Caenorhabditis elegans: one gene and its partner. Each later gene encodes a partner of the first gene's protein in a complex. Each region holds a gene or a part of one and is shown in the gene's direction. Other genes may lie near its edges. The genes, in order: nud-2 and bicd-1.

Region 1 (4,409 bases):
AGTCTTTCTCCCACACCATACTGACTCATTTTTGATGGTATTTGGCGTCATTGCCTGAATTCAAAATTGTTGTACTGTTTCAAATAGGAGTCTTGCCTGTTTGCTTATTAATTTTAAATTTTTAAATTGAAATTCCCTGTTAACCTGGTTGGGTGGACGATTTCGAGATTTATCGTCATGAAAAGATGGCTTTGAAATTATTATTTTCCACTAGGCCAAATTCAAAATTCTTCGTTGAACGTTTTCAATTAATTTTCCGGGCGAGCATTGAAAATATATGTATTACTGTAGTTCTCTTAGTACGCAAGTTTTTTAATGCAGCATATTTGACGACATATTGTGTAACAGATTTTTGAAACCATCTTTTAAACTAAATGTTTTTTCTTCTTTTAATTTTCAACAATTGCTTTGAAATTTTGCACCATTTACTCTTTTACGAAATTTCTGTCTTCTATTCTTGGCAGTTTTGAGTGTTTCTAAACTCGGCATTTTCATTGCTAAACACGTATTTACTCAGCTTTTGCTTGCCCCCGAACAAAAAAGTTTTATGATCAGTTCAGTTTGTCAGAGCACCAAAATGTCAACACAGAGCTCTCGCTCTTCGATTGGCACTTTACGAGTGAAGTCAAATACTGATTTGATAGGCTTCTCAATGTGGAGGAATCTTTTGCGACGATCGCTTTCTTTTTTTGTTCACCTGTTCGTACTATTCAATTCTTCAGCAGAGTGATGTTAACCTTGATCGTGTCATGTCGACCTGAATAGGAAATAGATGAATCGTATAGTTTGTGTGTATGTGAAGCACTTTTCTCGTTCATTTACATTTTCGAATATCAAATTTAGGTGTGGTACTGCGGCGCGGGAAAAAACGCGAAAAACAGATTATACCACCCCCAACTCTCCTCGTGACGTGGCCCAGTGATTCGTGAATCCTATATTAACCGCTGAAATTGGTCATTTATTATCTCAACCGGTTTCGTGTTTCTGTTCACTAATTCGTACGATTTTCTGTGTTCACCACACCTAATCCAATTAGAACTCAACAACTCGATGAGTCATGCGTAGGCGTTTTGGAATTTCATTTTTTAAATGTTTGTTAATACATTTCATTCTCTCCAAATTCTCACTTACATCATTAGTCTCAATCGTTACAACTAAATTGACCCGCTTAACTTGAAAATCTTTCAAATAATATGCTCAATATATTCTGCATTCCTTATTCTATTTGTTATCAGTTATTATACGCGACCATTGCCGCTCCCCATTCCTCCGACTGCTGCCTATCGTGAGTTTGACCTGAATTTCGTGTGGGAAATTGGACTGTTATATGAATTTAATTTCTATTTCCGAAGTTTAATTATCGATTACTAAAATTGATTGCCATTTCTGGAATACTCTTTGAAGAAATTTACCAATTTTTCTTTTAACACAGATTTTCTTGAATGACTATTCTATTCTATTTACAAAAAGTGTTAATTTTTTCGGAATTAGTTTCTTATAGCAGATTTCTTTGAACTTCATCAGTGTATTAAACCCAAAAAACAGTAAAATTTTCCTTCAAAGTATTTTGAAATCTTCAAAGGTTATCTGATCTTAAAATTATTGCCTATTGGTGTTACTCGCACAGCTGTTCGACTTTTTGTAGCGGAAGTGCGGACGAGCTATGGGAGCAAGGACAAACACAGAGCACACGGCGGCCGGAGCAGCCGGAGCACCCCCACTTTTTTGTTTGCTCGAATGCCTTGTGTCAAAAACTTTGGAGGATTTTCCATCTTTCCTCAGAGAGATGACTTTAGCTGTCTATCAGATGATGGCGACCTTAGATATCCCGATTTATAAGAATACTGAGACTTTTCTTCAACATCGTTAAACCTCAAAAAACATCCATTTGCGGTAGCAACTAATACGTAGTTGCTTCTGTTTTCCTCCGTTCGACCAGTTCTCTTTTTCTCTCTTTCCCAAATGTCCATTCTATTCTCTCACTTTTTGTCCACACGTGGCCGAACGTTGTAAGGGTTTAGTGTGTTCACAGGCGGCATTATACGTTTTTTCCTACGATTCATAATTTTTGTTGAATATCCTGAACAATTTTCTAAACCTTTAATATTTTCAGATCATCAGAAATCAATGGATTTGTCTGAGGATCAAATTCGCGGACTACCGCACCATGAGCTTCTTGGTCATTTCTTGCAAATGCGCGAAGAGTTTAACGAGTTCCAGACAAGTTCCGCGGAAATTGAGAAAATGATGGATTCAGAATTGGATGATTTGAAAACACAACTGAAAAAAGCAGAAACCAGAGTACAGCAGATGACCACAGAGCAAATTAGGAACAAGGTTGGTACTATTTTTTACATTAAAATTGAAAAAAAAAACTTTATAAAATTTTTCAACTATAATTTGAATTTTGTGAATTTTAAAGGATCGACAGGACGATTCCCGTGTACAATTTGCACAAGTCGAAGAGCAATTAAGACGAGAAAACTCACATCTTCATGAACAATGTGAAAGTCAGAGAGAAAGAATTCGAAAACTGGAACAGAGAAACGATGTGCTCGAAACATCAGAAAGAAATAAGGAATATCTAGCATCTGATCTCGGATCGAAACTGGATCATGCTATTGAAAAGATAGCAATGTTGGAAAGTGAGCTTTATGAACGGCAAGTTGCTGCTGAAGAAATGCATAGATTACGAGAAGAACAACTTCGAACAACAGAACGGCCACGTTTGATTGTAGAACCATTGAGGAATGATCCAGAAATTCTGCCGGACGAGCCATCCCCAGGTCCAAGTAAAGAAGAGTTTAAAATGAGTAAGTATTTGTCGCATTTTGAGAATGAAAATAACTAGTACTATTTAAGGCTCGGAAGATGTTTTCATGGAAGACGTGCAGCACCACGAAGATGTTCGAATGGAGGAAACTATTGCAAAAATTGACGAAGTGCGCATCGATGACAATAAAAATATTCAAGAAAAAGTACGTAAATTTTCTTTTTTTGGTGGATTTTTGAAAGTAAATATCCAAATATTAATTCAAAGAAGACCTGCAAATTTCGATCAATTAATAGCTTCACACCTTATTTCGGAATGAAAAACATTTAGTCGAAAAACTCTTGCAGCGAGTTCTAATTCTTTTTTCCCTCACAACTATAAACGATAGCATCTCTAGATGCAGAATAGACCGAAAAAACAATATTTGCTAACCCATTTATAGTTCTCAGCCAACATTTACATAGCTTTCAGAGCCAACGAGTATCTACCGGTACGGGCGCCGGTGCTTGCATCAATCGAATCGTCAAAGACCTGATGACAAAAGTCGAGCGGCTCGATTCAATTTTATCGACGATTCGCGTGAGCAACAACTCGTCTAACAACAATTCCAGTCATCTTACAACGACACGGGCTTAACATTTCATTTTTTGGTTTTTCTCACCTTTCTCGCATACTGTGACTTTTCATTCACTCAGGGATCCTCCATTTCATCATTTCCTTCGTTTCTTTCCGTTATTATTCTTTTCCATGACATCCTGTATCATGCTTATGTTTTATTCCCACCCAATTGGTATTAGACCCCGATTTTATTTGCCCCGCCTTACTGTTGCTCAATATAAGTTCCACGTTCGCCATTCACCCACATTATTTTCCAAATTTCTAAAGTGCCTACATATTTCTAATTTTTCTGTTAAAAATTTATATATCCGTCACCATGAATAGTTAGTAAAGGAATGATTTCAAGAAAAAGTGAGCAAAATAAATAAATAAATACAATTTGAATTAATCTTTCTAGCAATTTTTGGAGACAGAGAACGCCAGCATTCGTCCTATCACCGAGTTGTCACAACAGCACTCAATCGATTTTTCTGAAACTGTCAGAATACAAACATCCTTTCGTGAACGTGTCTGGCAAGTGAAAATGGTCAAATCCGAAGAAAATGCGTTAACAAATAGAGCAATTGACGAAGGATTAATGGGATTTTCGAGTTGTATCACATGCCGATTGAGACCTCCAAGACGACTTCTTTCTTTTGAAATATCTTCTGGAGACAGACGAATTGGTTGAACTTGCTCACCATATGGGACCTAGAATTTAGGAAAAAATTTAGTTTATCTTTAAAAGATGCGGATTGTGGAATCTAGTCAGGAATTATACAAGTTTTGATATAAAATATTAACCATCAAGGGAGTATTTACGTTTTTCAATTTTTTTTGTGGAAAAAATAATTTTAAAAGCCTCTGAAACTATTTAAAAGATTACCTCAAATCTGAAATGCTTCTCATGACCATCATCTCTTGTAAGTATCCATTCTCTACTTGTCGCACTATCTCCAAAATCTACGAGCAAATCAACAGAAACTCGTGCTCCAGACGGAATATCTCCAATAATCGAGTTTCCCTTCACATCGAGACC
Region 2 (8,111 bases), on another chromosome or scaffold:
CTTTCTTGATTGTTTTGTAAAGGATTTTTCTATCATAGAGCCGAGAAAATATCACATTAATTTTCTGTATTTTTGAATGAAGTCTATAAGACAAAGTTATAAATTTATAGAGATACTTTATGTATGTTTTTGAGATTTATTTTGTTACTAGATCTCAATTTTTCAATGGCATTTTAGTACTGTAGAGTGCAAGAGAAATCTAGCCTTATTCGAGAAATAAGTTTTTTACTGTTTATATTTTTTGATAAGTTTTTCAAAAATTTTGTTCGTTTAATGTACATCTTTTTTTTTAGTTCCAAGCGAAACACAATATTATTTTTCATACTGTAATACATATATTCGATTATTAATCAAAAATATTTTTTGTGTTGTTTAAAAAATTGTTTTTAAATTACAAGAAAAATTGCATGTCTGCAAAACTTTGATCGACTTCTGCAAATTTTTTAATAAGCTTCTACGAGTTTTACCCAACTGTTCTCTTGCATACGTAATTTAAATTTTTTCTCGTTTGATTTTTTTTTGTTATAATGACTAAAATGTTGTAACAAACCAATAAAAAAGAACACATAATAAAAATACCCAAAACAGAATTGGTTGGAAAAATATGCAATAGTTTGAAACATTACCCGAATTCTGAAAGGTTTTTAAAGTGAAGTAGCAAAATTTTTCAATTGATTGAAACATTAGAAAAGAGCCAAAACTTTCAAAAAATCTATACTTAGCGCTAAGACTGTCATTTTTTGTCGCAGCGTCTGGAAATGAATTGTTATAAAAGCATGATCAGTTATCACACTATTTTGTAGTATATTTTAAATTTATTGGAATACAAATGTTTCAAAATTTGAATGCCAGTAGAGTGCTTTAAACAATTCCGGAATAAAGACTCAAACTAGAAAATTAAGATGATAAATTGAAAAGTTGAAAAAAAGCCCGTTTCTAGATTTAGACTTTAGGAGAATGCGATTTTTAAAAATAATTTTCATCCGGCATAACTAAAAAATTTTCAAAATTTTCAAGAAATCACATTATGAAATTCGGCCATTTATGCTCATTTATAAACAATTGTAGTTAATTTTTGTACAATTTCTGTCGCTGAGTGCAAAAATAAGTAACCAAAGTCTTCAGAGCATTAAGGTAGTTTCGCCCAAAAATTTAAATTCTAGGTTTAAGCTTAAAACGAGAGCTATTCTTTGACAGTTATTACTCGCATGGTTAATATCAGTTCCTTGAAAATCAATCAATAACCCCAAAACCATATCATTTTATGTGACTAAACTTTCCTTCCAAAAAAAAAAGAAAAAAATGATCTGACTCATCAATTTCCGGTGATTTCCCCCGTCTTCCGTGCTCCACCCAGAACGGTTTGCGGAGGCATTAGAACAGTAGTCTCGCCCCGCATTTGTGTCGATTTTGGCTGCCGAGTGAACAAAAAAAACGAAACAGCACTCAATATTTGTGTCAGGTCAGCCACTCTTTCTTCCATTCTCTTCTATTTGTTTTTTGTTCATTTCTATTCCCTATTTCTCTCTATTCTCTTTAGTCCATTCTTCATTTCATAATTCTACTGAAACTAGTGTTACCTCTATCTCTAAACTCTCCTCTCAACCTGTACTATTTCTCTCGCGGGAGCCGAAAACGAAAACCTTATGAATATACAATTAGTTTTTCGACACCCTCTCCTAGTCGACAAAACGCAAATTTCCAAAATTGAACCTGTCGCACTAATATCTTGGAAATTTTGAAATTTACTTATTCCTGGTTTTGTTTAATTTTTGTTTTTAAAAGAAAATGTGGTCATTTGAGAACATTTTATTTAAATTTAAATTTTTAAATTTTTTCCTGTTTCAAATTGTAATTATTTCAACAATTTTTTAAAGGAATACTCAGTGAAGTATTTTTCCCCCTTTTTAAGTTATTTTCATGTTTGATATTTCCAACTCTCTAACATTTAAATTTCAGCAGCCACAATGGCTGAATCAGAATTGGAGAAGCTTCGTCAGGATATTGCAATCCTTACAGAAAAATATGAACAAGCCAAAGAAGATATTCATAAGGCAGCAAATGCGGGTTTAGAATTGCTCCGTCAAAAGGAAGATCTAGAGAAACGATTAGCAGAGATGCAGGCAGAATTGGATTTGGCAAGAACTGAAATTGATAAAACTAATCAGGTAAGTATTCGATTTCGAAAATAAAAATCGGAAAAAATATTGAAAAAAAATTAATGTTTCAAGTAAATGGTAAATATTCGAAATTTTTCGTACTATTTCATTTATTTTTAAAATATAAGCATGCAACTATCAAAAAAATTTTATTCAGACTTACGCAGGTAGGTAACAAAAATATAGGAAAATTTTTCACTTTTTTCGTTTTGTTGCAGTCATTCTTACCATTTTTTTTAAATATTTCATAAAATTTTGAACTGTAAAAATATAGAAAAATGAACAATCAACATTTTTGTCAGCTTACAATTTTTGATGAAGATGTATGAGCTGCCAAAATTGAGCTTAACAAAAGACTAGTAAAGTGTTAACAAAATTATTATTGAAGCTCAAGTTGTTCAAGTTGCTCTTATTTTCAGACTCTTGCTGAATACCGTTCCCAACATCAACGGTCCACTCGAAGTGAACTCGAAAATGAAGAATCTCTACTCGAGGAAAGTTCAGCAAAAGAAGAGGAATATCTACAGAGAATTGCAAAATTAGAAGCAGATCTTAAGAAAAAAGAACAAGAATTGGCAGAAAAGAAAGAAGAATTGGAAAGTATTGAAAAGAAACATTCGAAAGAAATCGATTCTGGAGCTGCATTAGAAGATGAAAGAAGAAAACTTAGAGCTGAATTAAAAGAAACAAAAGAAAGAGAACAAAGATTAATTTCTGAATATTCAGAGTTAGAAGAAGAAAATATTGGATTACAGAAGACTGTTGCAAATTTAAGAGGAAGTCAAGTGGAATATGAATCATTAAGAATTGATAATAATCGATTGGAAGAGACTATTGAAATTATGAAAATGGCTGCAGAGGAAGATGAAATATTAAGAGTTATTGCTGACAAACAGGTGAGACACTTTGAAAAATTACAACTCTCTCAGAAACTTTAACAAGTTTTCCTAAAAATATGTGAATAATTTCAAACATTTCCCTATTTGTTTGGAATTGCAACTGCAAAAACATTATGAAATTTTCATGTCTATTCACTATTTATTTTTGATCACGATTTGAATCGTAATAAATACAATACAATACAATACAAAATTTATTAGGTGATTGAAACAGTAAAAAAAACGAAAACTAGACAACTTTTATTTTAATTTTATAACCTGTTATTATTATTTTATAGCTCCCGTTTTTCATTGAAATTTTTGAACGGGTCGCCTCAATGTATATTTTCAAAACCTCAATTTTTGTATGAAAAACTTTCCAACTTATCATAAATATTTCAGCTCGAAGAAGCTCTGCTCACAGCTCAACAAGAACGGGATCAGCGATTGGCAATGAAAAGAGAATTAGAACAGACAAGAAATGCAGAGCATATCAGTAGTTTAAATGATATGCTTTTTGGATTGGAAAGGCTTGGGGAGGTTTGTTTTTTTTGTTAAAAAATTAAAACAATTAACTTTTAATAAAAGTTTGTTTTCCTATTTTAAAAGTTCCTGTGAAATTTTGTTAAAACACTTATATACAAAATGTCTTTTGTATACGTGAATTTTAAAAATACATTTGATAACTGATAATTTGAAACTAAACTTAACAAGTTGGGAAGAAAAAATTGCTCTTAAAGAAAAATGAGCTTCACATGTTTCGTATTCAATTTATATTGGCCAAGAGGAGTGTTGTAGGCTTGTTCTTTCGGTATCGATTTTTCTATTATTTAGTCAAATGTTATTTTAATATTTCTGTGTTCAAAAGGCGCATGAAATGGCAGAAACACTTGAATTAATTGTTGAATGAAAGTGTGGCACATGCTTTTAACGGACCACACGCTCAACACCAAACATTTTTGTATAAATCTTATGAAACAGTAATTTTTTAGGACGGCGAACTGCCACCTCCACAACCTGGAGCAAGTGACCTCTTCAGTGAATTACAAGGATCAAGTGATGTAAAAGTTCGTGAACTGGAAGCTGCAAAGGAAGGACTTCAAGAAGAATTAAAGAGCAGAGAGAAGATTTTCATCGAATTTGTAACCGGATTAGCAGACACCCTCAATATTCATAGACCAACAAGTGAGTTTAAATAGAACATTTCAGTTTGATTTGGAGTGTGATAAACCATTGAAGACATGGTGAAAAGTTATAACATTCAATTTTCACCAAATTTTTCAATGTTTCACATTCATTTCATATTGGTCAACGGTAGTATTGGAGTCTAGCGTAGATGTATGTAGTTTTTCAGAGTTTTCAGGGTTTTGGGTGAATAAAAGCTTCGCAAATTTCCTTTAAAATGAATATTTTATCATATTTACAATTAGTTATATTCAAAATTATTCAATTTTTAAAAAATTAGTTCCCCCGTGCATTCCCTAACAAAGTTTTCTTTACAGATGAGCTCGACTACATGCATGCTCGTCAACAAAAAGACGTTGTACTAGAGAAAATCCAGAACATTGCTCGTGACACTGACCGTCATGATAAAGAAGGAGAAGAAAAACGATCGGGAATTTTGAAGGCTGATTTGAGGACACTTGTATTGGTTGCTGGAGAGAAAAGTGCTCAGTTGGCAGCTGCTCAAGTTAGTTTTTGAATTAAATCATAAAAGTTTCATATTGCGAACCAAATTAAGAACATTATGAAAATGTAAATGTTGAAAATTCAGGACGCAATGATTCAAGTCTCCGATCAACTTTATCAATTCTACCATCAAATGACACAGAACCAAGGAGTTCAAACAGAAAAGAGTGTACAAGAGGTAAATTTTATTTTAATATTTATAGAAAATGAACAGAACTTTGTATATTTCAGATTGTGAAAAAGTTGCGTCTATTGGCTCGTGCCAATGCAGAAGACGTTCCACGTGTCTCGTTGGCAGATGAAGGAGTTGAAAGTGGAACAGAGACAGATGTTAATGCATCAAGATCAATTCCATTGAATTCCGATCGTCTTGTTATTGCGCCAAGTTTTGCGAAGGAAATTGAGAAAAAGTTGGCAAGTGTCAAGATTGGCGATGTGTTGTCAGAGACTGATTTGAGGCAAAGAATACTTACTGGTTTGTTTAGTTTTTGAATCGCAAAAAAGAGCTGGATACAAAACTTTTCCAAAAATGTACAAGTTTTAGAGAAGATGCTACAATTAAAAAAAACAACGAGATTTTACGAAAGACAAATAAAATTACTGTTTCAACCAACTTTTATCATAAATTGGGTTTATATTAGCTATTTGAGTCGAGGTTTCAACACTACATTGAATTTACTGTACTTACTGTATACTTAGTATACTTAGAATACTTACTGGTTTGTTTTTGAATCGAAAAATTCAAAAAAAGAGCTTTGCCAAAAGACAATTCTTCTTCAAATACTTCATTTGGTTGAAAATATTTGGAATGTCTAGCAATATTTAAATCGATTAATAGAAGCAGGAAAAATTTATTTTTTATTCGAATTAAATTTTTCAAGAATAATTATTAGTTTTAGAGAAGTTGCTGAAATAAAAAAAATTTTGGAAGATAAATAAAATTACTGTTTCAACCAACTTTTTTTTTCCATAAATTGGAATTCTATGAGCAGTATGTTTTTCAATATTGCATTGAATTTACTACTTTGTATCAAACATTCATTTAAGGTTTGATGGCGTTAAATTTAAAGAGTGATTAAGACTCTTGATATTAAACGTTACAACTTTCAATTTGCCAATATACATCTCATTCTCACATTCGAATATATTAAATACATTATTTTCAGAAGGAAATGCCATTTCCGAAACCACAGAATCGTTGAAAAAGATGATTCAAGTGGTGAAAAGAACCTCTGAACAAGCATTCAATCAAGCAGTTATGGCAAGTGGAGCTGAAAATGAAATTGAAATGCAGAATATGAAATTGCGAAGTCTTTTATCAACAAAACGAGATCAGATTTCAACGCTTCGAACTGTTTTGAAATCGAATAAGCTGACTGCTGAAAGTGCATTGACTTCAATGAGAGAAAAATATGAATCAGAAAAGAAAATGATGATGGAAATTAATGATAAAATGAGAAGAGAATTGAAACAATTGAAGGAAGATGCTGCCACGTTTGCATCTCATAGGGCAATGTTCACTGCAAGAGGAGAGGAACTCAAGTCAAAGGTATTTAGTTTTGTTTTGAAACAGTTAGGAATTTCTAATTTCGGGAAAAGTATAGCTTTTATAATATGACATACGGTAGCTCTGTTTAATTACTAATTCAAACATTTCCATTCCAGATTCCCTATTACAAAATAGATATACTTAAATTGTATCTGTAGTAGTTGAAACAGAAACTATTTTTAATATTTAAACTTTTTAGGGTTATTAACTTTTACTTTGAATTATTTTTCTCGTTGGAAAAAAAATCGTTTTCTCAAAATTTACAAATTTTTATTTGGAGTCAAGTTTCTGACCTGGCAGCTTAATGAAAATTTCTCAAGTTAGTTGCTTTCTCAACAGCTAAACGTTAACAGATATTGACTATAGTTTGACAGAAGTTGTCAAGTTTTTAAAGAAAGTTTCCCCCAAATGCCGAGTTGATAGATGCGATCATCTTCTAATTAAAACTTTCCGTAAATGAAATTACTGTTTCACAAAGGATTTATTTTGAATTGAACTTCATTTTAAGTTGATAGTCATAGGGGTATATCTAACCATTTTCTCACTTCTATTGTATCTGTAGCAGTTGAAACATACTTTTTTTTTAATTTTCATCTTCGTACAGTTTGTTTACTTTGAATTATTTTTAACATTTAAAACTCGATTTGTTTTTTACTTGAATTTAGTGTCTGAACTCTGAATTTGAAAAAAACATATGGTCAAAACGCAATATTTTATCACTTTAATCGTATCTGGAGTAGTATCTTCTGTAAATTTTAAAATCAAATTTAACAATTTTCCAGGTGGAAGAACTATCAAACGAGTTGCGTGCAAATGAAGAGGAAAAGAAGACATTAAATCAACTTCTTCGTTTAGCAATTCAACAGAAGCTCACATTGACTCAACGTTTAGAAGAGGTTGAAGTTGATCGGGATAGGCAGGTATTTAAGAGGAGTAGTACAAGAGCTCCAACTAGAGAGGTGAGATATTAAAGGTGTAGTATCGTCCAATGTGACGTCTTTAATGGAATCACTGATTAAAAACCATAAAAATTAAAACAGTCTTTTTTTTAAAAATTTTTTTAAAAATAACTTTTTTAAAGTTCTTTATGACCCATTTTCTCTAATTTGAAGAAAAATCTCAACAGACGATACTCCGCCTTTAATTATGTTCACTGTTTCAAAACATTCACAAAAAAATGTTGAAATTTCAAAAAGCAATGATTTTTTGATATACAGAACACATTGGAAGGCGGATTGTTTCTTTTGGGGAATTTTTTCGAAATTTATTTGATATGCCAAGAATAACAAAGAAAAAACGAAAAAAATTGGAAAATTTAGTTTAAAACGATAAAAAAAACCTTTTAACAAAGACACAAATCTTTCGCCAAACGTACAAAACTGCCTTTTTAATATGACAATCCAATCTTTTTAAATCTTCAATTGATTGGTATGGAAATGCAGAAAAAACTTTAATTTTGGTGAAAAGCTTGAAAAAATCTTGAAATAGTGCTCGAAAGTTGAAGTTTTGCCAAAAAACTTTACGCACTTTTAGCTACAAACGGCAATTTTCAAGCACTATGTTATGATTTTCTGGAAAAGTTTTCGACAAAATTAAACTTTTTCTTACTTTGAAAAATCCAAAAAAATTGTTTTTTTCTTCTAGAAGTTAATTTAATCTTCTCCGTTTTCAGACCTACCAGCCACCGAGAGCAGTTCGTTATCCGGGTTCAACAACAACAGCTCAACAGCCAGCACCTTCATCTTCGGGGGGCTCGAGGGGAGGGCCACGCAGGGGAGACAATCAGCAATAAGCTGGTGGTCAGGTGATGACGTGACAACGATGAGAAGACGACGA

Evidence for each region.
Region 2: nud-2 (region 1) and bicd-1 share a complex: the UniProt entries of both Caenorhabditis elegans proteins name them as parts of the dynein-regulating complex.

What each region holds. Positions count from the first base shown.
Region 1 is NC_003279.8:7,857,122-7,861,530, reverse strand, and holds nud-2 (Protein nud-2), read left to right. Parts: upstream 1-2,113; 5' UTR 2,114-2,127; coding exon 2,128-2,337; intron 2,338-2,422; coding exon 2,423-2,813; intron 2,814-2,862; coding exon 2,863-2,978; intron 2,979-3,244; coding exon 3,245-3,409; 3' UTR 3,410-3,775; downstream 3,776-4,409. Other genes in the region: apb-3 (AP-3 complex subunit beta), read right to left, coding at 3,785-4,081, 4,257-4,409. UniProt on the Caenorhabditis elegans protein: Part of a complex with lis-1, which is recruited to the nuclear envelope by unc-83, where, in turn, it recruits dynein to the nuclear surface and regulates nuclear migration in hypodermal precursor cells.
Region 2 is NC_003282.8:6,566,185-6,574,295, reverse strand, and holds the start of bicd-1 (Protein bicaudal D homolog), read left to right. Parts: upstream 1-1,959; 5' UTR 1,960-1,967; coding exon 1,968-2,168; intron 2,169-2,578; coding exon 2,579-3,055; intron 3,056-3,439; coding exon 3,440-3,577; intron 3,578-3,837; exon of another isoform or gene 3,838-3,858; intron 3,859-3,951; exon of another isoform or gene 3,952-3,972; intron 3,973-4,029; coding exon 4,030-4,222; intron 4,223-4,539; coding exon 4,540-4,727; exon of another isoform or gene 4,728-4,745; intron 4,746-4,811; coding exon 4,812-4,904; intron 4,905-4,957; coding exon 4,958-5,201; intron 5,202-5,370; exon of another isoform or gene 5,371-5,392; intron 5,393-5,892; coding exon 5,893-6,275; intron 6,276-6,378; exon of another isoform or gene 6,379-6,399; intron 6,400-6,782; exon of another isoform or gene 6,783-6,808; intron 6,809-7,057; coding exon 7,058-7,234; intron 7,235-7,474; exon of another isoform or gene 7,475-7,495; intron 7,496-7,947; coding exon 7,948-8,067; 3' UTR 8,068-8,111. UniProt on the Caenorhabditis elegans protein: Part of a complex with dlc-1 and egal-1, which is recruited to the nuclear envelope by unc-83, where in turn, it recruits dynein to the nuclear surface and regulates nuclear migration in hypodermal precursor cells.